Linked DNA regions of Medicago truncatula. The protein of the gene in region 1 interacts with the protein of each later gene in a pairwise test. Links are inferred from orthologs where the notes say so. Each region holds a gene or a part of one and is shown in the gene's direction. Other genes may lie near its edges.

Region 1 (7,024 bases):
CCGGTCTCTCTTCGTCTTGTGCAGAAACTTGGTTTTTAATAAAATTTTGCTGATTAAAAAAAAAAAATAAAAAAAAATCAATCAATCAATAGTATATGTCTGTATATATATATATAAAGTAAGGTTTTTATGCCACATGTCAGTTTCATGTTTATTCGTAATATTTTTATTATTTTCTATTTTTTAAAACTAATATTTGAATATTTCAACAAACTTTTGATCTTATCTATTAAATATTTTACTTAAATTTTTCATTGAATTCCTAATATTTTACGTAATAGAAATAACACAAATTCCTAAAAGTTAATTTTATTCTATATGTGTTAATATTTTTACTAAATTCAATTAATTTTATATGTATGTGTATCTATAAATTTACGAGTATTTATAATATGATATATTTTATTATATTTGTGTGTATTTATTAAGATATTCATCCTATACCAATCCATGATAAATTTTATTTGCGGACATCATAGATATAATTTTTTTATCATCTTGAATATGTCTAACCCGAGCAAACGTCGAGTAAATACAATAGTACTGATTAAATATAATGAATTACTACGTCAAATATATCATTCTAATTCACTTGTACATTTCCATACCTTCCACATAATGCTAAACGATCGGTGGAAAAAGCATTCTATATAACACTGGCACAAATACTCACTCTTTTATTATAATTTATAATATTTGGATTTTGGAATGCGATCAATGCATAAGTAAGTTTTTTTTTTTTTTCAGTTAGAGATGATCAAATTTAGATAGTGATTCAAAAAAAATTATGTTAACCTTCGATTCTTAGGAGAACGGGACATTGATAATCTAAATTTAAATCGCGAAAAAAGTAATCAAACTCAAGTTCTTTTAAATTATTCATTATTTCTTACCAAAAAAAAATATTCATTATTTAGTGAACTCATTAGCAGTAACTCATCGAGAACTTTTATTCAACTATTTAGTTAGTAATTCCTTTCATTCTTTCCTCTTATGATTCTAAATTTTCGATAGCCAGAACAACATAGGGGTTGGTTTAGATAAATTCAGTATATTTATATATGTTTATTGTTTATGGATGTTGATGGCTTATATATTAGCAAAGTTTGTATAATTTTCCTCTCATTTCTCTAGTCGGGTGTATGTATCAAGTATTGGTAAAGGTTTTAGTGAACAAATTGAAGTTGGTTATTGGGAAGATCATTTTATATACTCAATTTATTTTTGTGAAAGACTGTTAAGTTCTTGATGATATTTTTATTGTGAGTAAAGTTGTGGATGATATAAAAAAAGACTGGAGAAAGAGTTGATTCTCTCCAGGGATGATTTTTAGGATGCGTATGACTCACATTGCGTGGGTGTATTTTGTTGATAGGGCATCATATGATAATTAGTATGTTTTAGATATTTTACCTACATTTGAAGATAAATAATATGTCATTTAGATATTTTATTAACAATATTTTATTGAAATTTTGCGTTTAAATTACAAAAGATATTTTATATAAATTTTTTGATATAAATAAAAAATTATAAGGATAAATATTTGTGACTTTTAAATGTAACAAACTCAACAAACCATATTTATATTTTTCAATGACAACAATAATATAAAAAATATAACATTTTTTATATCCTTTTTAATAACACCAACAACATAATATTATTATATCAAAATTTATTTAAGAGTTTAATTGGAATAGCAAAAAAAGCAGACCAAAATCTCCCCGAAACCCACTATTTTCTTTATATATAGTATAGATAAATTTCATGGTCAGTGAAGTTTATTGGTTTTTGTGGTGGTTATGTTTTTTTGTAGGTTTTCTTGGTTTTCAAATACACGGAGTGTGGTTTGTTTAAAGTGCGGTTACATGGGTTTTTGGTAGATTTGATGATTATTTGGAGAGGTTTTTTAACGGTTCGGAGTGTTCTTTTGGTTTGCTCGTAAAAATTTATATTTGATACATGAGTGTTTATTTGAGTGTTCCACATATATAGAGACACTTTCCCTTTGTATGTTGCTCTTTAAGTCTTCTAGCTTAGCATTCCCTGTGCTTGCTAGGATTCTTTGTGTTTTAAATAATTTTCATTTTAGCTTCTTCAAAAAAAAGATATAGGAAAATTTGTGTATGGGTATAATTGGAATTTAAAAAATTCAGCCTAAAATCTATATCTCCTTCGTATATAATATTGTACCTATAGCAGTGGAATCTTTTCTATTTTTATGGAATTTTATTATTTTATGAGGGTTAGACATCTTCATAAAGTATAAATCCTTAGATGAGAATTCATGAGGCACACGAGATATTAAAGTTAAATGATATATTCATGGCGTTCATAATCTAGTATGAAGGTTATGGAGTAATCGAACATTGTAGCGAGTGGAGCTTTCTTCGCCATTGGGTTTATGTCACGTCATTAAGTGCCCTGCAATCGCCTTGACTCGCCATGGCAAGGCTATTGCTCGCTATGGGAAGGTTTTGTTTTCCTGAATTCCTGAGTTTCTGGAACTGCTACTTCCACTCACTTCTTGGCTCCCCATGGCGAGTTGGTACGCCATGGCCTCGTTGTGGCTTGCTTGAGACTTCTGAAAACTGGATTTTCTGGAACTCCTCGCTGCAAGCTCGATTTTAGCTCGCCATGGCGAGTTAGCTCGCTCCTTCCTCACTGTGGCAAGGCTTGGACTTATGAAATTGTAAACTTTCTAACTTAGCTCGCCTTGTCCTCGCCCTGTGCTCGCTATGGCGAGCTAACCTTTGCAAATCTTCAAGTTTCTTTGTTGAATTCTTGTCTTGTTCATCATTTTCCTGCACAATGGAATAAAGTAAGGTATAAAAAGCATAAATAGACATTTGTGCATAAATTCTTGGCATTTCCATGAATAACTTGTAAAACAAGTAATCAAAAGTGCTTAATATATAACATAAATTTACTACTTTCTACCACTTATCAATTCACTGTTGTAGTGAAACATAAATTTATTGAGGGTCTTAGTTATTGTTCATGATGTTTTTGGGAACAATGTTACATTTTTTTAATATTTAAAGGTTTCTTCAAGACAAAAGACTTGATATCTAAAATAATTGATTACATACAGTTTTGAGACAAAAGAGTTTGTTTACATACAGTTTTGAGTAGCAATATTTTATTACTTATTTGATTTGATGACAAGCTTTATGACAATCTTATTATTGTTGATCTAAATCAATTAAAAAAAATTAAACAAAATGATAAAATCATAGTATAAACAAGAAAGTACATTATAAAAAAATTATCATAAAATAATTATACAAATATCATATTTTTATAACAATACAGTAGAGGTGTGAAAGTATAATCAAGATGCATATATTAAAATTAAATTATAATTATTTTAACAATATATATGCACCCCACATGACACAACTTAATAGTTTCGTTTGAACTATGTAATAAACAATTCTAGAAAAAATCTATGTAATAAAGAATAGGAAATGCTAACAAGTGCCCTCAAAGTAATGGTTAAGGAAGTAAATAATCTCCTATTGAAATTTGTGCATTCAACTCCTTAAAAGTTTAAAAAGTGATATTTTCAACTTAATTTTATTTTTTGATTTCCTTAACCATTATCCTGCGGGCACTAATTAAGGAAGCAATTGATCAAGAACCCCGAAAAGGAAAATCAATTAGGAGACAAACTACAGAGAATTAATAGCAAAGAAAACTAACTTTAGCAAATAAAGCAAAGAAATTAAAAAAATATAAACCTAGCTACACTACACTGCATTTGGCTTTTAAAATATTTAAATGAGTCGCGCTAACCATTGCTCTCAAAGCAATAATTATAGAAGCTTTGCATTAGTTTCAACAACATTTTAATTTTTAAAAAGTTAAATTTATCACTTTTTACTATTTTCCAATGTTATATTTTTATTTTTATTTCCTTATCCAATGTTCCGAAGGCAATGATTAACATTCTCTAATTTAAATATATCTTCATATTTATTTCTATCAACCAAACAAAGTCTTGTCAACCACCCCCATCTCCAAGACATTGCCGGTTTGGACTAAAGCCACCACTCTCTCCTCTCTCTCTAATCTTTCTCTTCTTCGTACAACAACACATCATGTGAGAGTTTTGCTGGTTTCTACTTGCTCCACCCTGTCAATGCCCAAAATCTATAAGCTCCAATCATCTTCACTCATCTCTCAACCTCTTAAACTTTTGGCTTTTGAAACTTCTTGGACCCCTTCACCCCAACACACACAAAATTACACTTGTGTTGTCCCTAAATTTCATTCATTATATAAACAATCTCAAAGATGGTTTTCATTAGGGTTTCAATTAAGTTCTTGACCTTTCCATAATTTTTATTACTCTATAAAACAACAAAGTAGGGTTTTTTCATTTTCCCTATATTTTGAGAATTGAGTTGAGTGAGAGAGTTAAACATATATGATATTTGGTTTCTTAAATTTGAGTTAAATGGAGGAATACACTAATAATCCAAATCCAAATCCAAATTCAAGGCCAAATTTCTTATACTCCATTGCTAGTGGAAACAACCAACACCAACACCAACACAATCATCAACATAATCAGATTCCAATGAACAACTTTCATGGATCAGACAATTGTTTTCAGTCTGATCAAGTACAACATCAACAACACTCTGCTGTGAAAACTGAAGCAAATAGTACTTCACAACTTCACACTCCGATTTTTCATTACCCAGCTTTAATGAGAACAAATATTATTCCACACACCAATATTATGCATAACCATCATCATCAAGGAGGAGGAGGGAGTCCAAGCAGTTCTAATGTTGAAGCTGAAGCTATAAAAGCCAAAATCATTGCTCATCCTCAATATTCTAGTCTTTTACAAGCTTACATGGATTGTCAAAAGGTCACTAATTAATTATTATTTTTATTCATTTTCATCATTATAACAATTTATTTTTCTTAACCCTTCCCTTCAAGATAAGTAAAATACTATAATCAATAATTAATGATTGTTTCAGTCAAGAATTAAATTTGGACTCCCACCATCATGATAACAATTTAAATAAGCATACCCCATTTTTTATATATATATTTTTAATTTTTATATTAATTAATTGCTATCTCTCTCTAATTAAACAAATTATATGTAGATTGGAGCTCCACCGGAAGTGGTGGCTCGTTTGGTTGCGTCTAGGCAAGAATTTGAAGCACGGCAAAGATCTTCAGTTAACTCGAGAGAAACTTCTAAAGATCCAGAACTAGACCAATTCATGGTACAAGGGGGTATTTTTTGTTTTAGTTTATGTTTTTTTTCTTTCTAGAATTAAAATTATTTTCGTTGGGTTTTTATCTTGATAATCAATAAGTTTAAATTATGTCGGCAAAAATCTAGTTGATTACTGTATCTATATTTATAGAACTTATAGATTGTGGTTTTGGACGTTGAAATGGTGTTTATGTTTATGTTTAACAGGAAGCATATTATGATATGCTTGTGAAGTATAGAGAGGAATTAACAAGGCCTATACAAGAGGCTATGGATTTCATGAGAAGAATAGAAACACAGCTAAATACACTTTGCAATGGACCCCTTCGGATCTTCCCTGGTGAGTAGTAGTAGTACTTTATCTTTTCTCTTAATATATTCAATTCAATATTCATTCTCAATAGTTTTGTTTTATTATATTACTAATATCACTGAAATTAAAACGAGGTCATTAATTAATTCTGGATTATTGACTATTAAGAGTAATGTGACTGATGTGTGAGTGACGGGTTGTGAAAGCTCTTGAAATTCGTAAACTCGAGTGTTTCTGAACATAGCCTGGAAATTTTGACCAAAAATCTCACATGCTTTCAAATCGTGGGAGCAGAAGGGTAGGGGACCCATATAACTGAAGATGATATTTCTTCATCATCTACAGAACCCTAATCGCTAGTACTTTCTAAATATGATATTTTTTTTTATTTTTATTTTTTTTATAAAAAATATCACATTTACTGGTATGTTTCTAGAGGCTGTATTTGTTCATACTTCACGACTCCAGACGAATTTTTTACTATTTCATTTTTTATTGTTGCTAAAACCCAAATCCACACGTTGGCGTCTCCATGTTAGGCTTCTATTTCCCAAGCTAGCTCCTGAGTTCTGACTGACAATTATTCTTCTAGGGTTTCCATGTTAATCAATGTATTTTACTGACTAAAACTCTCGTGTTTATCGGTTTCGAAGGATTCATTGGGTTTTGTGGAATTACTACTCTTTCTCATCATTACATTGGTCAGTTTTTCGGCCGTCTTACCGCTAATGCCGTTTTAATCACTTTTTAATTTTCTCTTTTCTTTTGCATTCTTTCTTAAAAAACACATTGGATGCCGTTCCAATCCAACCCCAACATAGGAGTACTAGTAGTGTTAGGAGTTTTTAGTGCCATTTTTTTTTTTTTTTTTTTTGTAGAAAGGAGTTTTTAGTGCGATTGTGCCTTTGTTTTTAAGTAAATGCTAACTTGAGCCTTCAAGGCACATGTTAAGATACTTATTATAAAAATACACATATTAAAAGGTGTGCATTCAACTTCTTAAAAATTGTCATATTGTGTTTTCCGATGTAAAATTGTTCTTTTTAAGTTGCTTAACATGAATCCAATACAAACATAGTCACTACTTTTGGTTTCTTTAACAAGTGTCCTAAGAACATCTACAATGGATCCTCAATTTTGAGTTCTTAAACGGGTTCCACGTGAACACATCACTATTTTAATAACCGTACTTAATAAGTATTGAGTCACTCCAATGGAGTCCCTCTGACAAAAGGTCTAAATTGATCCAACCACTAACTCTTCATCATTTATATTCCAACAATATAATGATTATTTTAATAAAAAGCAGCGTGGGATCCACTTAAGAATGAGAGTCTTAATTCTCGAGTCTTAGGTACCGGATCTTAAATAGTGAAGACATCACTATTGTGGATTGTCTAAAGGCACTTATTAGCATAACCCTTTATTTTAATCATTTATCTATTATTCTCTTTCATTTA
Region 2 (7,732 bases), on another chromosome or scaffold:
ACGGGTGCACGTGGTTTAAAAGCCTTATTGGAAAATATTCTTACTGAAGCAATGTTTGATGTACACGCTACCTGTGGAAATATAAGATCATATTCTATTGTTTTTCTCATCTATATTTCCCTACCCTCCAAAACTGTTGCATATGGAAGTGGATTTTTTTTAAAGAAAAAGGTGGTTATCAATATGAATGTTGATTTTTGTTTTTATCTACAGATTCCAGACAAGACTGATATTGATAACATAAATGGGGTATTGGTTGATGAAGAGGCAGTTGGACAAGTCAATGGTACTGGCTGTGGAGCAAAAATCATATGCAGAGATGATGGCGCATTGGAGTGTCAAGCAAGAACAATGTGTTTGTAAATAGTCAAGAGAGTATTGCAATTCCTTCTTTTTCTTCTTTATCAGCTTTTCCTTTCTTCTTTAATTTTTTCCTTGTTCGTTTTTGCATACTAAACCCTGTCCCCCCAAAATGCGTGTAATATAGGAGATGTTTATTTTTTTGGGGGTGCTGTATTAGAATCAAACTGTTATGTATGTACACGCAATAAGCATTGTATAATCGATGCTCATTTTCATATCATTATAGGCTCCCTGTTTTAGTCTTATTTCATTTCTTGGTTGAATTCAAAACAAGATGGTATGACTTAGACATTTTGTGTGTGCACCAAGTTAATTTTTTATTACTACCTACAACCAAGATTTTAAGCCCATGGATGGATTCCTCTAGAATCCAGAAACATAAACCCTAAACCAGAGTTCCTGTCAGAGCTTATTTTCCGCGACCACCGTGCCAGAATGCGTCTCCTCCGTGCCGGAGCACCTATCTGCAGCCAATTGCTTAAGAAGGTTAAAAAATATCTATTTATTCTTCTCGCTCTGATTGAGTGTTTATCTTTCAAGTAACTTTAGTTTCAAATATCCTTCATTTGCTCGTCGTTATATGAGGTTGTTAGGAGAAAATGGGTTGCACCTGAAATAGTATATTTTAATATTTTTGTGTTTGTTGTGTAAAGAAATTCAAGTTTATAGCATTCTCAAGAGATGTGGCATTAGTTGATTTTATTGAATTTGGGTCCTCTTTACCTGTGTTTTTGTGCTCTGAGATCATACTATAAAGTAGAACCATCAAGTATTATATGATGTGAATGAGTTGTATTGGCCACTGGCTAGTATACCTACAAGACCCTTGAATGTTTCTTTTATAATTTTCATCATTTTGATACTTCTTAGTTGCAGCTGAAAAATATGCTTTGTTCAAGGGGAAAAGAGAACTTTGATCCTTGTGTCTTTAGATAATGTTTTTATGCGTTTTAGATGTAATTTCATGTTATTGCACACTGAACTCTGTTAAGCTTTTATGCCTCTTGCCTGCATAATTTGTATGATAAGCTTTATTTGGAGAATTCATATTTTGTAGCGAATGCCTCCCAACACAGAAGTGAGACTTAGATCCAAAGGTATTGATTGTGGAACAACTTGGCCTTTTGGTGTGATTCACATTTGGCAAAGGGAGCTCAACTCAGAAAAAGTGGTCATTGAATCAGATGCAATTATGCAAAAGTTGTTGTTCTGCATTCATGGATCCACTACTGATTTTTAAGAATATGGAATCTGTTCTAGCAAACACGGCAACCACTATGGGTTTCCATTAAGTTATTATTCTCCTCTACATCATGTTTTAATTGTGAAGATCTAGATAGATTCAGTTTCTTTAGCAGGTCCATGCGTATGCTTTATGTATTTTAGATAGCGTGATTTGTTAATGATACCAAGGGCTAGATGATTTTAGCACGAAATTGAAAACTTTTACAGTGCCCTTTTTTTTATCATGATATGCCAGACTTGTGCATTCAACTCGCATGGTAATGACGCCCTTTGGTGGATTTCTTCAATTGGCTATAATGTTCCTACTATAAATGTGTGAACTCATGATCCTGCACTTGCATGCTCCTTTGTCATTAAGTACATCAACAAATTGGTTAAATATTTTATTTGTTTAAGAGACCTGAAGCTAATGTTAAAGATCTCCAATGCTAGTTTACCATTTCAAGAACACGCTTAGCTTTTATTATTATTAAGAAAGTAGACCTCAAAATGTTTTTTTCTTTTATATCTGAAAAATTCTGAATGCTTGTTGAAGTGGGAGTTATATATTGTTGATATGTGATAACTGGTAACCTCCTACACCGACTATTGTCTTATAACTTTGGGGGTTACACAAACTTGCCTACAAACAATCTTTTTGCCCTAAATCCGACAATGAGTTTTACTGGTAAGACAATGTTGTTGTCATGATAAAGATATATAGTTTCTTCCTTCTATTTCTAAATCGGTTTGAAAAGCGTCTTTCGAAGAAATATTTGAAGCTTAGGTCTTGATTAAAAGCTGACCAAGTAACGGTACTCAGAACAAGTAGTATGTGTGCTTGCCATTGATTGTGTAAAAGTGGTAGGAACCACAACTCAAGAGTCGTTGAAATAAAAGAAAGCCAAATAGAGACAGTATCGAGGAAAGCCTATGAATCGGAAAAAATAGAGACATTTTCTAATATTTTACTTCTAGGTATTGAAATAAAGCGTCTTTAGAGGTGGACTTGCTGAAACTTTGCAAATCACGAATGAGTTGACGAAGTATATGGATTGACAAATGCGGGATTAAGTTATGAAATATAAGTCAATTGCATACATACTGTACTTTTTTTTTAATGAAATTTCTCCTTGGCCATAAATTGAACACGTATTGTTAAGATATTTGACTCTTCTTGTGATTATCTTGTTGATGACCAAAACTCAAAAAGTGAAACAAAATGCTTATATGTTTTTCTCTATGCATTGGATCATGACTTGAGTATGTTGATTGCATAAAACAGGTGTTGATCTGATTTCTTAATAATGATCAAATTGACAAGAATATGCAAACAACCATAATACGAAGTTTAAAAACTGGAATTTTTTATTTTTTCTTAGGGGAAAAACTGGAAATCTGTTAATCTATCTATAGATAAAAAATAAAAAAGAATACTCCTTTAACCCAATTTGATATTCGCGCACGAACATTTCCTATCAGTATACAGCCTGATCGGCAACACACTTTTCAAAATGAAAGAAATAATATACACAACTTAGTAGTAATTATGTTTCATTCGGATACTTATTGTAAATATTCTTTTTTTTTTTTTTGGGTACAATGGAGGGCGGAAACCCATAAAAAAAAATTACGAACCCATCAAGGGAAAATAAATGGCTAATTAGTTTTATCTTGTTGGGAAAATTAGAGACTAGTTTGACTTGAAGACTCGTAAAACATCAAGCTACAACCTACACACTATCTTTGTGTTCCACTTTATTTGAATTAAGCGTCGAATCTTTTACAATTGTCTTCTTCCATTCTTATTAGTCTTTTCCCTTTGATAAGAATATGAGTGACAATTAAATAGTCTACATTTAGCTCTACTGCATTAAAAATACAAAAACCAAAATATATCGAAAAATGTGATACATGACGTTAGAAAAGGGAAAAGTGTAGTTACAAGCTAATTGCACCAACTCTGAGAATGACGATAATTTGAGATGGGAGTGAAATCATCCTTACACTCATGATGGACACATCAATTTCTCGAGGCTATGCATATCTTGGAGGCAAAGAAGGCGTGTGTGGTTTTATTTACGGGTGTGCAAAAGAATTGGTTAACCTCAACTTTTATTTACAAGATGCCCACTTATGAATAAGAGAATGGATCTCCTCCCGCATGTTTCTCATCAGTTTTCGACGGTGTGAGAATCAACACCATTAAACATGTTATCTCTCCTAATTTTAACTTTTAAATTTCCATGCATTTAAACGGAGAAGGTGTTCATTGTGGTGTTACGGGAACACATGGTCTTCACGTTGTGGTTGTGGTGGTGAAGGTGGATTGCGCCTATTTTGTCGCGGGGGGTTGGTTCAAAGGTACCACCTTGTAACTTCATGGTATACTCGTGGATTGAAAGATTCTTATTTGGAAGGTTGTAACTTCTTAACTGCGATAGTCTCTACTTCTAGTAATAGTTTAGCACACTCTTTGTTGTTAGTCTGAGTCCTGAAGCACGTGGAGATTTTACCAGTTGGTGTCAATTAGGTGGTTTGTGGACTCTTGTTGCTCTCCATGGTGCTTTATGATTAATAGGTTTTATATTACATCAATTTGAACTTGCTTGATTTGTTCAATTGCTTCCTTAAAATCCAATCGCATTCTCTGGTTTAATTGATGTTTTTGTTTATGTATTCATGATTTATCCACTAGGTCGGCCTAATTTTGGTGTAGCAGTTATATTTCGATTCATTATCTTTTTCTAAGGGTTTCATAATTGGACATTAAAATCATTTCATACGATGAGAGTTGCTGGTGTACTGGGCACTGCCTACTATGCGCTATTCATGGTTCTACCATAGGAAATACATTATTTGAAGATTGTGATGACGCAAATTCATTTCGTGATTTTAACTCAACTCAAGCGGAATAAATTTATTCAACGGTCACCGCTAACCACTTTTGGTACCAAATATTTGGGGTTGCTTTTTCCAACGACGACTATTTTATATTGCGAGAAATTAAATTGAATCTAAAGTATTTTGTGAAGGATCACTTAGGTCTTCACTTAAAAAAAAAAAAAAATTAAGAGAAGAAGAGATAAAGAGAGAGAGGAAAAAAGCAGTAATAATAATAAATTTGGGTGTAAGCAAGCAAGTAGGGTTTATAAACGAAACGAAAGGAAACGAAAAGGGTTCGACAGTTGTTGAGAGTGAGTGAGTTTAGAGAAAGAGAAAGACGCATTTGGTTTGATCGATTCCGCCGCATCGATTTCTGATCGACTCTCGCACTAGGGTTCGTTTATATCTCTCTTCTTCAATTCTCCTTTTTAATAATTCAATACAATCGAATTTAAATCTTCGTTGATTCTGATTCTTGTTGATTATTTTTCATTTCAATTCAACTTTGTATTGTAATCCCTGACATTGGACTCGACTCACTCATCACAGTGTTGTTGTTTGCTGCTTCTGCAAATATGGCGAACTTAGCTTTGCCTGGTATTCTTGAAAAGGTACTTTTTCTCTCTTTTTCTTTTAACACTGTTTTTATGTGTTTGTGTTGTATTAATTAGGTTTATGATAACAAATAATCTTCAACTTTGTATGTATGTATTTGTGACAGATGACTGGGAAGGATAAAGATTACAGATATATGGCCACATCTGATTTGCTTAATGAATTGACCAAACCTACTTTTAGGGCTGATGCTGATCTCGAACTTAAATTGAAAAATATAATCATTCAACAGCTTGATGATGCTGCTGGTGATGTTTCTGGTCTTGCTGTTAAATGTCTTGCTCCATTAGTCAGGAAGATGAATGAGTCTAGGGTTGTTGAAATGACTAGTCAACTCTGTGACAAAATACTTAATGGCAAGGATCAGCATCGCGACACTGCTAGCATTGCTTTGAAGACTGTTGTTGCTGAAGTTTCTACCCAATCCCTTGCACAGTCCATTCTCTCCATTCTATCCCCACAATTGATCAAAGGAATTACTGCCAAAGTAACTAACTAACTACCTAACTCCCTTCTCGTTTATCTACTTTCCTTTCTTTTCTTTGTTTCACATGCTTAACACTGTTGTACCCTTCACAGGATATGACCACAGAGATTAAATGTGAATGTCTCGATATTTTATGCGACGTCCTTCATAAATTTGGGAATCTAATGGCAGCGGATCATGACCTATTGTTAAATTCCCTGCTTTCTCAGTTGAATTCTAACCAAGCTACAGTTCGTAAGAAGTCTGTTGCATGCCTTGGTAAGACATATTTTAATTTGCTGGCTTTTGTTTTTCTGTAAAATTTGTTCTTCATGAGTGGGGAGTTGATATTACTTTCCGCAGTTTGAGTTTTCTCAATTATTTTCCATACATCTTGGTTAAACACCCTATTGTAGTTTTTTTGTTGCGTCTGAGGCAACTTTGATTCAGTAACTGGAAGATAGATAGATTTGTGTTTCATGTTTCAATGAGCATCTGATTAACATTATTTTCAATGAGTTTGACTCTATTAATTGATTTTCCCAAATATGAGTTTGAAATGAAGAGATTGTGTTCAAATGCTTTTACACTTCATCGTAAAACTTGTGTTGATTCTTTAACCTAAAGCAACTAAAATGATGTTTGGTATCAACCCTGAAGTGGCCTCTTTTATTTTGGTCAAAAACATTATTGTCAATTAATGCAAAACTGTTAACATGTTTTTCTTCTTGTCAGCATCTCTTTCTTCAAGTTTGTCAGATGATTTGTTGGCAAAGGCAACAGTTGAAATTGTTACCAAATTGAAAAATAAGGCTGCCAAGTCTGATATGACTCGTACAAATATACAAATGATTGGCGCTATAAGGTTAGCAATTTCTTTCACATTATTTTCTCCCTCTTGCTTCAGTCTCTTTTTCATGTTGAAAATAGTGTTATCACTAGTAGATAGTGGAAGTGGTTCAAAACCAAAAAGCCACTGTGTCATATATAGCGGACACGGACAACATTACTGAACTATATAGGCAAACAGTGGAAGTCACATTATGGTTGAAATAAATCGGTGCCATTTATAAATGTTAATCTGTATACAAATAAAAATAAGCTGCATGATAAATATAAACTGTATTAAATGGTGACACAACATCACTAACATTATAACACCTCGTGGTATGGCGTTGCCTTCCCCCACAACCACTAGTAACAACACTGGTTGAAAATAGAACGTTTGTAGTAACAAATTTGAGCTAATTGGTGTTACAGTCGAGCAGTTGGCTACCGATTTGGACCCCATCTTGGAGATACAGTTCCAGTCCTTATTAACTATTGTACTACCGCCTCAGAAAATGATGAAGAGCTTCGTGAGTACAGTCTGCAGGTGCCATATTTGTTTATTATCCATAATTTTATACTATGAAATGTTTGTATTTATATTTATTTATGGTACACTACTAGTTATATATTCAATAATGTCGAAATTTTGCTGCAGGCGCTAGAAAGCTTTCTCCTAAGGTGTCCAAGGGACATTTCAGTGTATTGTGATGAAATTCTTCACCTGGCACTGACATATCTGAGTTATGACCCAAACTTTACTGACAACATGGAGGAGGATACAGATGATGAAGGTCATGAAGAGGAGGATGATGAGTATGTGTCTCTGTGCCTATTTGATTCAGTTGGTTGCCTGTATGGTATTTATATTTGCACAATATTCTTCTTGTTAATCATATCATATATCAAATATTATTTTCCAGAGAAAGTGCAAATGAATATACAGATGATGAAGATGCCAGCTGGAAAGTGCGCAGAGCAGCAGCTAAATGCTTAGCCGCATTGATTGTTTCTCGTCCTGAGATGCTTTCAAAGCTGTATGATGAGGTAACTTTGCTTTCACTTGTTCATAATTTTGTGTAATTTGTTAATAAACTACTGTTCTCTTTATTTTTCTGAGATTTTGCTATTCTTGCATCATGATATCCTTCTGGGCTGTGAGTAAACATTTGGTATACTAGATTTATTGTTTGATAATTTTTGTATCCACATGTTCTTCCAATAAAATTTCTTTTGTCTCAAAGAAACTGTGTAATTGTTTGTGTATATGGCTCTTCACTCCCTGTTATTATTTTTAGTTAAATGACGGCATATCCTTCGCCTTCCTGCTTTACAGGCTTGTCCAAAACT
Region 3 (7,499 bases), about 250 kb from region 1:
TTTAATATATGGACTAATTACAAAATTTATGAGTATTAAGAAAGATTTTTTGTAACAATTTTTTTTTGTAAGAAGTGTGTTATTTTTTTATATATAATTATCGTTAATTATTGTTATCATAAGAGAAGAAAAAGAATTTATGTTTCTAAATTGTAAATTACATGAGGGTATTTTTGTTAAACTAATTATTGCATGTGAAAATTTGAGAAAGTTCTTATATTAAAGAGAGACAAAAAATGTTAGAAGTATGTTTTATAACTTGGGGCTAAGGGTATATTTTAGTCGACAAAAGCAAAGGATCATCATGCAATTAGACTAAATAGAGGTAAATGATGCTACTATGAAGGTAAAAATCATTTAAAGTCAAAATTTGAAAACCAGCTAGTTTTTAATATGATTCAAATTTTAGATACAAAATCATTTCTACCACAATATTTTAAAAAGTTAAAATCAATTCAACACTTCTAATATCAATTTTGATATCTCAAAAAAGTGGAACCAAACGAGCATTTAAAAGTGTGCATCTAAATGCCACCTTAGATTGATGTCGGAATGTGAAAAATAGCTTCAAAAGATAAATATCCATTGAGGAAAAAAAAGTTACTGATAAAAACTCATAATCATCAAGAAGCTCTTTCGCATTTTGAGATTGTGTGCGAGTAAAAAAAAATTAACAACACATTTTTTAACATACTCATTTTTACCAGTTATAATACATGTAAGCTTCACCAAATTAAACGTGACTCTAATGCATTTTAATCAATAAGAGAGACCGTATTACAAAATGTGAAAGAGTTTTCTCTTAGCACCCCTAGAAATATTTTGAGATTTTGTGTAAGCTTGATTAAGACTTACCAACAATTATTAATTGATGTTCCAAACAGGTTATAGGTTACAACTAAAACTTAGGCTAAGGTCCACAAAACAGAAACGGCTTTGTCGTTTATGAGCATAGGGTTTGAAACATGTTCAGAGTTAGTGCCCTGTGTCTTCTAAAATGTTTTAAAGGGCCCATACTTTTCCTTGTCTTGTTCTACATAGCATGACTTCATTATCATCCAACCAGTTAACTTGACCAAAACACCCGAAAACGTTTGCTTTAGAGGGAAAACAATAATTTCCCTCAATCTTTCTGAAAAAGGAGTGAACCTGTTCTGTAACCAAAATTATGATGAAATGTTTATACATACACATGTGGTTTCATTTTTTTTTTTTTGACTAAATCATGTGGTTTCATTTATTGTTTATCTATAAAATCTTCTTTTCCACTGTATGAACAGTGGTATAGATTTCATTTTTAACGAAATACAATGGTATAGAAAATTGTCACACAAAACAACAAGTAGAAAGTAAATCATTATTCTTAAAGGGCTTCCATCATTCACAAAAAAATATAATACAAATTAATCATTGATATTTTCATACCTTCAAATTGTGTTTGTAATTCATCAAACCAGTGGTGGTGAGGTCTCATGCAAATATTGTTCATGATATGCACATGTGTGAAAGAGTTTTGGAGAAATAATAGTCAAAATTTTACTGAAGTTGTATCTAAATGTAAAAGATTAACTTAAAAGATGAGTTAATTTTGTTGTTTATAAATATTAATACACACTTTAAGGGTGATTATCATAACACAAATTTATTTATACTTCTTTTTATTTTTTTATAAGGTTGATATATGCTTTCTCAGACTTTTTTTTAGCTTAATACAAGAATAGAAATTTTCATACACGAGTAAATTAGCATCTATGTTGTAATGAATCAATTTTATTTTATTTTTGAAGAAATTGTAATGAATCAAATTATCAACGACTAATTTAAATATTGTAAGTGACAAATAGAGTGTGTAAAATTGATTTTTACTAGAGGGAAAAGGTACAAATAGTAGTTTTGATTCCAAAATGAAGCGGATGAACATACCAAGATTCAGGGGCGATTGCTTTCTTACTAAAGGGGTAGCTATGGCTAACCCAAAGAAGAAGAAGAAAATTATTGAAAGAATAAGTATATTTTTATATTAAGCTAGGAACCAGAGGATGAACACAGAAAAGTTCTACATTCTTTGATTGACAATGAAAATATGACCGCAGCAACAACATCAATGTCTTCCTCCCAAAACAAAAACCTATCGCTATTGGCCTGAACTGATTTAACGGCACTTTGTTATTGTCAAAACAAACCCTTTATTAACGCATCACTTTTTTTTATAGCTAAAAAATAACTAACTAGTAAATTATAACCTTTTATAATCTGTTCTTATTACTTTAAGTGTGTCTTTTGAAATATATTTTATATGAGTAATAGCTATTGTGATTATTATTATTGTAACCACCTCATAAAATTATTATTGTTCGCTGCTGCCAAGATTAACATTTGCAACTGGGTGGTTAACAACTTTCCAATCAATTAAAATCACGTTTGAAGCCGATGAGCTCACCTTGGTTGCTTTTAAGGTTGTGTTTGGTAAGGACGAGAAGCTTGTTTAAGGAGTGTAATGGTTCAATTTGGATCGGTTTTCAATCAAAAAAATGTCCAAACCAATGAAATCTTTATTTGTTCGCTTTGTACTCTTTTCTAAAAAGGAACCGAACCAAACTAATCGGTTTGATTCGGTTTGGATCAGTTCGGTTGATCAGTTTATTTGAAAATACAATTAAAAAATTTCATATTCTCACAAACTTATATTTCATGCATACAACATACATCATATTAAAATATTTTACGGAACTTTGTGTTTTTTTCATGTTCTCTATTTTTCAAACATCTATTTATAATTAACCTTACTCAATATTTCATGCATCCACGACTTCAAAATAAATATTTCATATATCCAAAATCCATTCATCCATCATTCATCAAAATCAAATATTTCAATCATCCATGATCCACACATACATCATTCATCAACTCACAAAAATTCCAAATCATAAGTGAATGGATTATGACATTGTCGAATAAAAGGAGGACTTGATAATGTCATTAATAAAGTGAAGATGGGAGAAAGTGAATTGATCAAGGAGTATTTTATGTTGGACTTTTAATTTTGGGTCTAATTATGTTTGTGTGTGTGTGTGTGTGTGTGTGTGAGGAATAATATTAGTAAAATGGGAAGTGGAGTTAACATCGGTTTGGTTTATCAGTTTCTTGGATCTCAAAATGAAAAAATGAGAATCGAACCAAACAAGATATGTTTAGATTAGTCCGGTTCGGTTTTGAACCGAACCAGACAATGTCGAATACTTTTTCGATTTGGTCTGATTTAAACTTTTGGTTTCGTCGGTTTTGTCCAAACCGCTTACATTTATAGCTTATTGGATTAGTTTTGAGTTTGTTGGATCAAAACATAACGTATTTGGTAATAAGTTTTTCTCATGAGCTTATAACTTTTTGTGAGATTATATTTTAGGTAGTTTTTAAGCTTATAGCTTTTATTAATCTCTTTCAATTTTAACCCTATTAATTTAGTTTTATTATTTTTTAATAATAAAAACTACCCATTTTAGTAAAAAAAATGTAACTACCCGTTTTTATATTTTGTTGAAACCAGCATGCAGCACGTTACGACGCCCGTTTTTAATAATAATAAGTATTGTGATTTATATCTTAAAAAATTAGGGTTTCCTTTGACAAAAAAAAAAAAAGGGTTAGGGTTTCCCAATTCAATCTTAATTTTATTGATAAATATTTCATTAACAAAATTATAAATCAAATAATTGATTAATTTTATTTTAAACTAAGATCGAATAACTTTAGTTTTGAGAGAGGTAACTTTGGATCTATCAACATAGCAACAAACATTCATATAAATATTTTTAAAATGAATTTGATAGAAATAGGTTAACGATGCATATGTTTTATGACTTAAAACATTATGTACATATTTTTATGATCATAAATAACTAATTTGAAATTAGGAAAACTAAAATGATTAACCTATACAAACATTAAATTTAAAAATCTTATGACATTTGTTAAATAAAACATGAAACTTTTTTTTGAGTAATAAAAATATGAAACTCTGAAGTAGTATGTGTTGATATGAAATGAAAGTGCATTGTTCCCTCCCGCCGAATAAATACTGAACACATGATTTGCTGCATTAAAATTGCAGAACTATGGAGATGATGAGATGACCATTCATATATAAAATTGCGTCATTTTATATATCCCTTACATCACACACTTTAATCACCCTCTTCTTACTATTACTACCCCCCAAAAGCAACAAAAAAAGTACACACCTATACTTCAATATTTCATTACATAGAACCCTATACGTTACTATAGGCCATGATGACACAACACAACATAACAGTGTCAAAATCTTCACATCACACGCCATACATTTGCCTAATGTTTTGTTTTTGCACTTTATTTGCAACATTTTCTTTACCTTATCACAGTATCATGTAACTCTTGTTTCTACTCAAGTTACCAACTTGTTTTAAATTTTGCTAAAAAAGCTAAAATGTTTCTTTCTGTATGCACCTGCTATGCTATGAACAGAGAGAGAGTGAAATATAGCAGTGATTCAGATAAATGATCAGAGAGAGAGTGAAAAGATGGGCCCTCTAAAGCCTGAAACAGAAATGAGTGGCACTGCACCAAACACTATACACTGTATCAATGCCTCTCTCTCTCTTTCCTTGTTTTATTTCTTTGTGGTTTTTCTACCTTCTTCTATCTCATTCATCTCTATCTTTGCATTTACATACATAGGTGCATAAACTAGCCCCCCCCCCCTCTCTCTCTCTCTCTAGGTTTTTTTTTACATTTTTTCTACACTATAGTTTGCAGTTTGCACTCTTCAATGCTTTTGTTATTCTTGAGGTGATTTTTTTTTATATGGTATAATGTAAAGTTTTTTGAGCTTTTTTGTGTGTATTGGATTAGAGAAATGAATGGTATGCACTATGCAATAAATCTTGATGGGATCTGTGAAAATTAAAAAATGTGCTTTTGGAGTTTGGGATACTTGAATTAAAAATATTGTTAATGTTCATGCATATTGGACCAATGCATGCTTTTGATATTCACCCTTTTCAGCATATTTCTGGTTTTGTTCTTTACATTGTTAAACTTTTAAGACCAAATTTAATGATACTCTAATCACATTGCTTATCTTTTTGTTTTTCATGTTTCTTTGTTGTTTTCTAGGTTCTCATAGGACAAGGCAACTACAAATCCTGCAAAGAAGTTGTCAAAAATGTTTGAATTTTTGAAGATTTTGACAGATATATGTAAAGTTTCATATGGTGGCTCTGTTTGATTTATGTAAGGTTCCTATGCTTATTAAGACAAGGTTGGTTCATTTGTTTTTGCTTACAAACATTTTTTTTTAACTGTAGCCTTATCTTAAAATTGTTCTTGTTATCAAATAAGTAAGTAGTCAAAAATCATTTTTCTAAGTCTATTTTATTTTCTTCTTTGTAGCATTTTCTAATTGTTTTCTAAATGGAGAATGATGTGTACACTGCTCAAATGAACATGGAAGATATCACACAACATCTAACACAAAAGCCACTCATTCATTACTATTCATTTGACCTTAACAACCAAAACAACATCATAAATGGAATTCCAATACTTTCTGGTGGAGAACAAGATCAACATGTTGATGGTAGTTTCATGAATCAAGTTACCATAGCTGATAATTCATTTGTTACATCACAACAAGGAAGGACTATTGTGGAAAATCCCTCAAATCTCATTGTTAATAACAATGACTTTTCGGTTCCGGCTAGAATCGGTCTTCAAGAAAATTTAGAAGCAATAGTTCCATACATATTCAATAATTGGCATGATACTTCAAACTCAAACCCTTTGTGTGCAACTTTTGGTGATAATAATAGCTATGTTAACAAGTTTTTGAAAGCTCAAGAGAGTAATGTTGGAACCGAATTCATGTCATATTCGCCGATAGGGAACATTGATCCAAATGGATGGCAATCATCAAATGTTGCTAACTTAACGAATCTCGCTTATAGTTCCTCGAATTGTAGCAATGAGCTTTCACTAAGTCTTGCAACATCTCCAACTTCAGTTCAATGCTCAGAGATTAGTTGTTCTGACTTAACTCATAGCATGAATGGAACAAGATCAGGTTTGGAACAAGCCTCATGTAGTAGTATGGAACTTTCTATGAGTTTAGGGAATGATAAACATGTCAAGTTTTCGCCCGCAATATTAGGATCAAGATACCTTGCTGTAATTCAGGAAATACTTGTTCAAATTGCAACATTTTCATTTGAAAATCTTGATGAGATAAACTATTCCGGTTCTGGTGTTAGAGGCCGAGGAAATAAATCAACTTCGTCAAACACAACCAAGCGAAGGATAGGAATAAATCGCGACGAGAGTCCTATGTCAGAAGCTTATGCTGATTCTTCATTGCAAAGGCATGCTGTTGAATCAAAGCAATCTCAACTCTTGATGCTTCTACAGATGGTACATTGCTAACCACTTAGATTACATTACATTCATTTGGTTTTCGTAAAACCGTTTATGGTCCTGATTGCGTTAGTATATGTCTGCTGGTTTCACTCTTGAACATGGAAAAAATTGATTTCTGATGTGTAGAACGGATTTTGACATCTTTGGATGTTTTCTAGTAGAGTTGGTACTTAGAGCTAGAATTTTGAGCTTTTGCCTCTACAATTGATTTTTAGCCTTGAATTTATTGCTCAATCAACTTTTACATGAGAATCTATCGAAACATAAAATCAAATTACATGCAACACCCTCTTAGGCAGAAAATCAAAATTAATTTTTGTAATTGTAGAAGCAAACCTAGATGCAAAATTGTTCACTTTTCCAAATAAAATTTATCGATGGTTAAAAGTTGTTATACTAGTTCAGGACAAAACTTTGAAAAGCAAATTGTGTGATGTTGAATGGTACTCTATGAACAGTTGTTATTTGAACATCAAAATACCTACATTCCAAAGTTACACACAAGGGTCAAAAGAAATTTTGATTATCAAAAATTATTTCTCTATATGAAAGTTTTGTTCGAGAATGCTGATAGTAGTCTTTATTTTACTCAGGTGGACAGTCAATATAGTCAATGTTTGGATGAGATTCACACTGTCGTATCTGCATTTCATGCTGCTACTGAGCTCGATCCACAAATACACGCGCACTTTGCTGTCAAAACGGTTTCTCGACTATATAAGGACTTGAGAGAGAGGATTAGCAAACATATTCTTTCCATGGGATCAAATTTTAACAGTTCATGGTCAGAAGAGGATAAGGAATTATCTGTTGAAACTTCATTCATTCAAAAGCAATGGGCTCTTCAACAGTTGAAAAGGAAAGATCAGTTATGGAGGCCCCAAAGGGGCTTGCCAGAAAGATCTGTTTCCGTTCTACGTGATTGGATGTTTCAGAATTTCCTCCATCCGTAAGTATTATCTATAATCAAACATATGCTGCCACATTGCATCCCCAATTTCGGCTGCATCAGCTGCATTTTGCTACAATATCAATGATTGTGA
Region 4 (6,266 bases), on another chromosome or scaffold:
TTGTATTCCAATATTGTTTCTGATAATAAAAATTCTGTTTGTGACATTTGTCATTTTGCTAAACAAAAACATTTACCCTTTTCCATTAGTACTTCTCATGCTACTTCTAATTTTGAACTTTTGCATCTTGACATTTGGGGTCCTCTTTCTATATCTTCTATTCATGGTCACAAATATTTTCTCACCATTGTTGATGATCACAGTAGATTCTTATGGATTATCTCACTCAAAACTAAATCTGGGGTCTCCCATCATGTCAAATCTTTCATCAAAATGGTTCAAACTCAATTTCATGTCACTCCTAAATGCATTAGATCTGATAATGGCCCTGAATTTCTTATTTTATCTTTTTATGAATCACTTGGCATTTTACATCAAAAATCTTGTGTTGAAACCCCTCAACAGAATGGTAGAGTTGAAAGAAAACATCATCATATCTTGAATGTTGGGAGAGCTCTTTTGTATCAATCCAAACTCCCTGCATCTTATTGGTCATATGCCCTCTTGCATGCAGTTTTTCTTATAAACAGAATACCTACTCCTTTACTTTAGGGTCAGTCTCCCTACTATGCTCTTCATCATAAATTTCCTGATATTGATACTTTCAAAGTGTTTGGTTGTCTTTGTCATGCTTCTTCACTTCAATCACATAGAACCAAGCTTCAACCAGAGCCAGGAAAACTGTTTTCTTAGGCTACAAGTCAGGTTACAAAGGTTTCATTCTACTTGACATTCATTCCAGAGAAATATTTGTTTCTAGACATGTTGTTTTTCATGAATATTTTTTACCTTATCCAAGCAATAGTGAGTCTATCACTTCTCAATGGGAGTATTTTTCACCTATTCAAGCTGTTGTTACTAAGTCTGTTGATACTCCCCCACCTATACCTATTATTGATGATGAGCTCTACTCATCATCATCTTCACCTATCACTTCACCTGACACTACAAATTCACCTATCAATTCACCTGACACTACAAATTCACCTCCTCCTTCACCTGTTCATCAGTCTCCTGACATTCCTTCATCACCAAGAAAGTCCACTAGAAATAAAACTGCACCAATCAAGTCTGCAAACTGCTTAAATCTTTGTATGGTTTCAAACAAGCAAGTAGAAAATGGTATGAGAAGTTAACTTCCATTCTCATTCAACAAAACTACATTCAGGCATCTGCAGACCACTTTATGTTTACTAAGCATACTGATTCCTCATTTACTATTCTTCTGGTTTATGTGGATGACATAATCTTGGCTGGCAATTCATTATCTGAGTTTCAACACATCAAATCCATTCTGCATTCTTCTTTCAAGATCAAAGATTTGGGACAATTGAAGTATTTTCTAGGTCTTGAAGTTGCTCATTCTAAGCAAGGCATCTCTTTATGTCAAAGAAAATATTGCTTAGACTTGTTATCTGATTCAGGCACTATCAACTCCAAACCTGTCTCTACTTCTTCAGATGCTTCTCTCAAACTTCATAATGATTCATCTCCACCATATGAAGATATTCCTTCCTATAGAAGATTGATTGGCAGACTCCTTTACCTCAATTCCACCAGACCAGACATCACTTTCATCACTCAACAGTTGAGCCAGTTTCTTTCTAAACCAACCCAGACACATCACAATGCTGCTTTAAGAGTGCTCAAATATCTCAAATGTTGTCCAGGCAAAGGCTTGTTTTTCCCCAGAAACTCTTCTCTTCATCTACAAGGATTTTCTGATGTAGATTGGGCTGGATGTGTAGATAGCAGGCGTTCTATTTCTGGTCAGTGTTTCTTCATAGGCAACTCTCTGATTTCATGGAGAACAAAGAAACAAACCACTGTGTCTAGATCTTCCTCTGAAGCTGAGTATAGAGCTTTAGCTTCAGCAACTTGTGAACTGCAATGGATACTCTACTTACTCAAAGATCTCAACATTCAAAGCTCCAAACTTCCAGTTTTGTTCTGTGATAATCAGAGTGCCCTTCATATAGCTGCTAATCCAGTTTTTCATGAACGAACAAAGCATTTGGAGATTGACTGTCATCTGGTTAGAGAGAAACTTCAAGCTGGAATCATGAAGCTTTTACCTGTTTCCTCTCAAAACCAACTTGCTGATTTTTTTCACCAAGTCATTGCTTCCTCAGCCATTCAGCAGTCAGCACTCTTTTATCCAAGTTAGGGTTGCTTGATTTGTACCAACCTCTAACTTGTGGGGGGCTATTACATGACACTACAAATGCAGATAACTTGAGCTCCAAGTAATAAGCTGTAGCTTAGTTTCTTGCTCAATAAGCTACAGCAGAACCATAGTATGTTATGGTATTCTTGCAATTAGCTATATATAGCTTTGTAATTACTTGAACTCTTAAGGAAAATCATTTCATTTTTTCAGTTTCATAATACATACCTTGTATTTTAATTAGTTCATGTTCATATTGACGACCAAAATTATTGCTTCAACATTTCTGAGCTTTAAAATGCAAAAATATTTCGTAGTTTCATCACTCAAACTTGTGCTCATTCAAAACTACGAAATGTTACAATTTCTGGTACACAATCAATACAAATCTAAGTTCACTACTGCCAAAAGTTTCCATCCTAGCACTATCTTTTTTATGTGAATTGATGTAAGTACATTATCAAAGATTGCATATTTTGGACTTGTGCATGTGAATTTTGGACTTGTGCATGTGATGTGCCTCTTTTGTATGGCCAAAACCAGGAAAGTATGGCAATAGTTTTGTTGGTTGTATTTATTAATGAACTTAGTTGGCTTGGTGTGGAAGTTATTTGTGACATAAAAATGTTAGATTGGATGGTCCCTCATTTCATTGATGGAGGTTTCAGGCATTGATAAATGATATTAAAGTTGTAATCTTGAATTTTCTAATAATGTGATATCCTGAGTGTTATTTTGTCAGGTGTAACTTTATCTTGTTTCTTTACCAAGCTTACAATATTTTAACAAATGAATTATAACTCTGTTTGGTATTATTTTATTACCTGCTAACTTTGGGAATATTTTGTTATTACAGGAATTTGACTCTACCTATGGTCCAGCTTGGCATTGCATTGTAGGTACTAGCTTTGGTTCTTATGTCACTCATTCTGTTGGTGGTTTCTTGTATTTTTCCATTGACAAAGTTCACATCCTTCTCTTCAAGACAACTGTTGAACCATTAGACCATTCATAATTTCCAAATGTTTGAGCTTATATTTTATGCACATTGATGCAATTTGTTGTAACAAGCAACATGGTATTCTTCACTTCAGCTCAGAAGATAAATTTTATAAATAAAAAAAAGTCTAAAAATGCTTGTTGATAGTTGCATTATTGGTACACAAATTGTTGCTTTACAGCATTGTGAAAGATTACATAAAGAAAATTATAAAGTTGGAGTGCTATTGAATATCCATCACTCCCTTTCCTCTGCCTTTGCCTACAACCATTAAACTTCTTGTTGCTGCTAATAATTGGGGCTCGGATTTTAAATTCACAGTTGTTATTGATCTGTACTGTAAATAATAGAGTTTTCTTTCTTCATTTTTGGTTATGGTATGTAAACGAAGTGATAAACACTACATAAAACTCACATCTTAAGTTCAAACCTAGGTGAAAGTGTACGGTCTAGCAATTTCAACAATTTGGTTGAGCAAGGTAGATTTTTACTATATACTATACATTTTTTTAGTTCACATAGACCTGCAAAAATTTGTTGAGGTAATTGACTCTTAGGAAGAAAATGTAATTTCACATAAAAAGCAAGGATTTTCTTTGAAAATGAGCAGTGAATGATTTTTATAAAAAAATAACCTTTACTTTGAGTCCAATGCAAAGATTGTCGAGGAAGGGTGAGAAGGAAACAGTCAAAATTGGCTGCTTATTTATGTCTTATTCCTATTGGAGAGGGAAAAGGAAGGGAAAAGTGTAACATTTCTTCTCATACGTGCATTAACCTCAACCATATATATGTAGCCGTATTAACGTGTCACATTAATATGACAATATCTTCAAAAGAATGTTGATAAAATAGTTTCCCAGCCACATAGATACAGATGCAACATCTTCGATCAAGATCCAAGCTTACCTCCTTCTTTTATAAATATATTAGTATTAATATCATATGATATGATTGGCTTGTTTTGCATTTATACTATAAACTATAAAGTAACGTGTGAATCAAATCAAATATGGAAGAGTCTTGCAAAGCTTCTTCTTCTGAAATGAGCACCACAGTTGAGGAAGAAGAACAAGAGGGTCCTCCTCATGAAGCCATGTTTCTGGTGATAGCTTACCTTCGAGTGTACGAGGTTTTAACCATGTCTCGTGTTTGCACATCACTGAGATATGCAGTCAACAATGATGTATTGCTATGGCTTAAAATTATTGTTGAAACCCCTCTCAATTCAAGACTCTCAGATGACACACTATTGAAGATCACATCCAAAGCAAATGGTAGGCTTCAAACACTTGCTCTTATGAACTGCATCCACGTTGCTGACCATGGACTACAAAGGGTTGTTGAACAAAACCCCTTTATTGAAGAGGTAATGTTTTTAGAGAGATTTCTGTTTTGCTGCTGTGATTCAATGGTTTTGATTATAAGCAAATTCTGCTTCATATAAGTGAACGTATGATGTCAGTTTTAGCTGCTTAACAGTTAGGATAGTGAGCGAAGGAATGTGGAATTCATTCAATTCAACGGATCAATAGTCTCTGTGTTTGCAAATTTACCACCGCAAGCATATAGACTATTTCTAGGCTTTGAATCGGGGACCTCTGTGTCACAAGGCAGTGACCTTACCGTTGTGTCGAGGATTGTTCACCTTTGGTTTTTATAAAATTTTGATTTTTTTTTCATTATTCAATGTAAAATACAAAATTGAGTTTTTTAGGTTCTTCGAACATAGTCTGATTTCTGGTTTAATTTGATTTGTAGCTTCATATACCAGCATGCACTGGGATAACCCCTGAAGGAGTTCTAACAGCTGTGAAAACACTCTGCCAAAGAGCCAACTGCTTAACCACCTTGAGTTTAAACGGCATTTACAACCTACAAAACGATCATCTTGACGTGCTTACCTCAAACCTCAGAAAAAACCTCCCATTAGAAGACGAGCTAACACAACAGCCTATCTACTATCATAAACGTGGCAGCGTTTCAGCATTCAAGCACAACGAAAATCAGAGGATTATTGATTTGGAGAAATGTCCCAAGTGCTTTGAGGTGAGAATGGTATATGATTGCCCAAAAGTGGACTGCAATAGGAAGGAATTGTGCCAAGCTCAATGTAGGGGATGCATATTTTGTATTCCAAGGTGTGAAAACTGTGGTGGATGTGTTGGATCAGAAGAACTTGAAGATGTTGCATGCGGAGATTTCTTGTGCCTTGAATGCTGGTTACAGCTTCCCAAGTGCAATTTCTGTAACAAACCATATTGTAAGCAGCACACAAATTGGTGGTGCACTTCTTCAGAGTCTTCATTTCTCTGCAGAGTTTGTGATGAAAATTCTCACGGATATACATACACTGATGTTCTATAATGAAAATGACTTGTGATGATTAAGGTTATAATATCATCATGCCTAGAATTTTTGAGTTACTACAATTATTTGTATAAAGTTTATGCCTACAGAAATTATTGTTTTAACATATCATTTGCATTCATGAATTTACATATTTGGAGCGGCATGATTTAACTGAGCCAACATGATTTCGTCCATGCTTAAAAAGTCTGAGTTAACGAACTGAGTTCAAAACAAATTTAGTGTTGAGATTGAGAGACCAATACTTCATTTCAATCAGTTTTGTGTTTAAAATAAATCAAAATATATCTGATAGAAATATCTCACATATGTAGTCAAAACCAAACATCTCTCAACGGTTTTTCTGACATTGATGATAGTGTTTAACCTTAGCTAGGCTTGCTGCCTTCAATTTTGACTTTCCTGAACTCAGTTTTTGAAGGAACGTTGTTGTTGATCATATAGAAAGCTGGAAACATAGACACTAGCTTACACTAATAAAATAGATGTGAGTGGAACTTTAAAACACCAAAGGACACGGTGCATATTTGGATTGACAGTGAATTTTACAGGGCACGGCGTGCCACAATTATTTTGGCAAAATCTACACTTTGACGTTTTACCAAAATCATGGTGCCAACATAATTTTGTCAAATTGAATGTATACAAACACACTCAGTATTTTCCACCGTTTTGATAGGTAAGAACATATATTGCCTCATGAATGTAGGTAGGAATTGCATGCTTTCA

What was found.
Region 2: the proteins of homeotic protein knotted-1 (region 1) and cullin-associated NEDD8-dissociated protein 1 interact in binary tests that used the Arabidopsis thaliana proteins (3 or more experiments, as listed by UniProt). The link is inferred for Medicago truncatula from reciprocal best matches to the Arabidopsis thaliana genes KNAT1 and CAND1.
Region 3: the proteins of homeotic protein knotted-1 (region 1) and homeobox protein ATH1 interact in binary tests that used the Arabidopsis thaliana proteins (3 or more experiments, as listed by UniProt). The link is inferred for Medicago truncatula from reciprocal best matches to the Arabidopsis thaliana genes KNAT1 and ATH1.
Region 4: the proteins of homeotic protein knotted-1 (region 1) and F-box protein SKIP28 interact in binary tests that used the Arabidopsis thaliana proteins (3 or more experiments, as listed by UniProt). The link is inferred for Medicago truncatula from reciprocal best matches to the Arabidopsis thaliana genes KNAT1 and MEE11.

The regions. Positions count from the first base shown.
Region 1 is NC_053042.1:4,713,769-4,720,792, forward strand, and holds the start of homeotic protein knotted-1, read left to right. Parts: upstream 1-3,998; 5' UTR 3,999-4,465; coding exon 4,466-4,888; intron 4,889-5,135; coding exon 5,136-5,258; intron 5,259-5,458; coding exon 5,459-5,591; intron 5,592-7,024. UniProt on the Arabidopsis thaliana protein: May play a role in meristem function, and may be involved in maintaining cells in an undifferentiated, meristematic state, and its expression disappears at the same time the shoot apex undergoes the transition from vegetative to reproductive development.
Region 2 is NC_053045.1:64,570,775-64,578,506, forward strand, and holds the start of cullin-associated NEDD8-dissociated protein 1, read left to right. Parts: upstream 1-4,727; 5' UTR 4,728-4,867; intron 4,868-5,022; 5' UTR 5,023-5,048; coding exon 5,049-5,084; intron 5,085-5,194; coding exon 5,195-5,575; intron 5,576-5,667; coding exon 5,668-5,833; intron 5,834-6,289; coding exon 6,290-6,419; intron 6,420-6,814; coding exon 6,815-6,929; intron 6,930-7,040; coding exon 7,041-7,198; intron 7,199-7,305; coding exon 7,306-7,429; intron 7,430-7,718; coding exon 7,719-7,732. Other genes in the region: ATP-dependent Clp protease ATP-binding subunit ClpX, read left to right, coding at 214-363. UniProt on the Arabidopsis thaliana protein: Key assembly factor of SCF (SKP1-CUL1-F-box protein) E3 ubiquitin ligase complexes that promotes the exchange of the substrate-recognition F-box subunit in SCF complexes, thereby playing a key role in the cellular repertoire of SCF complexes.
Region 3 is NC_053042.1:4,466,251-4,473,749, forward strand, and holds the start of homeobox protein ATH1, read left to right. Parts: upstream 1-4,485; 5' UTR 4,486-4,623; exon of another isoform or gene 4,624-4,833; intron 4,834-5,160; 5' UTR 5,161-5,277; exon of another isoform or gene 5,278-5,305; intron 5,306-5,436; 5' UTR 5,437-5,457; coding exon 5,458-6,450; intron 6,451-7,049; coding exon 7,050-7,405; intron 7,406-7,499. UniProt on the Arabidopsis thaliana protein: Transcription factor which may be involved in the signal transduction pathway downstream of the COP1 gene. Controls floral competency as a specific activator of FLC expression. Is responsive of the nuclear import of SHOOT MERISTEMLESS (STM).
Region 4 is NC_053049.1:48,362,314-48,368,579, forward strand, and holds F-box protein SKIP28, read left to right. Parts: upstream 1-3,987; 5' UTR 3,988-4,179; coding exon 4,180-4,536; intron 4,537-4,928; coding exon 4,929-5,534; 3' UTR 5,535-5,623; intron 5,624-5,654; 3' UTR 5,655-5,754; downstream 5,755-6,266. Other genes in the region: dynein light chain LC6, flagellar outer arm, read left to right, coding at 3,024-3,182. UniProt on the Arabidopsis thaliana protein: Component of SCF(ASK-cullin-F-box) E3 ubiquitin ligase complexes, which may mediate the ubiquitination and subsequent proteasomal degradation of target proteins. Required during the endosperm development in embryos.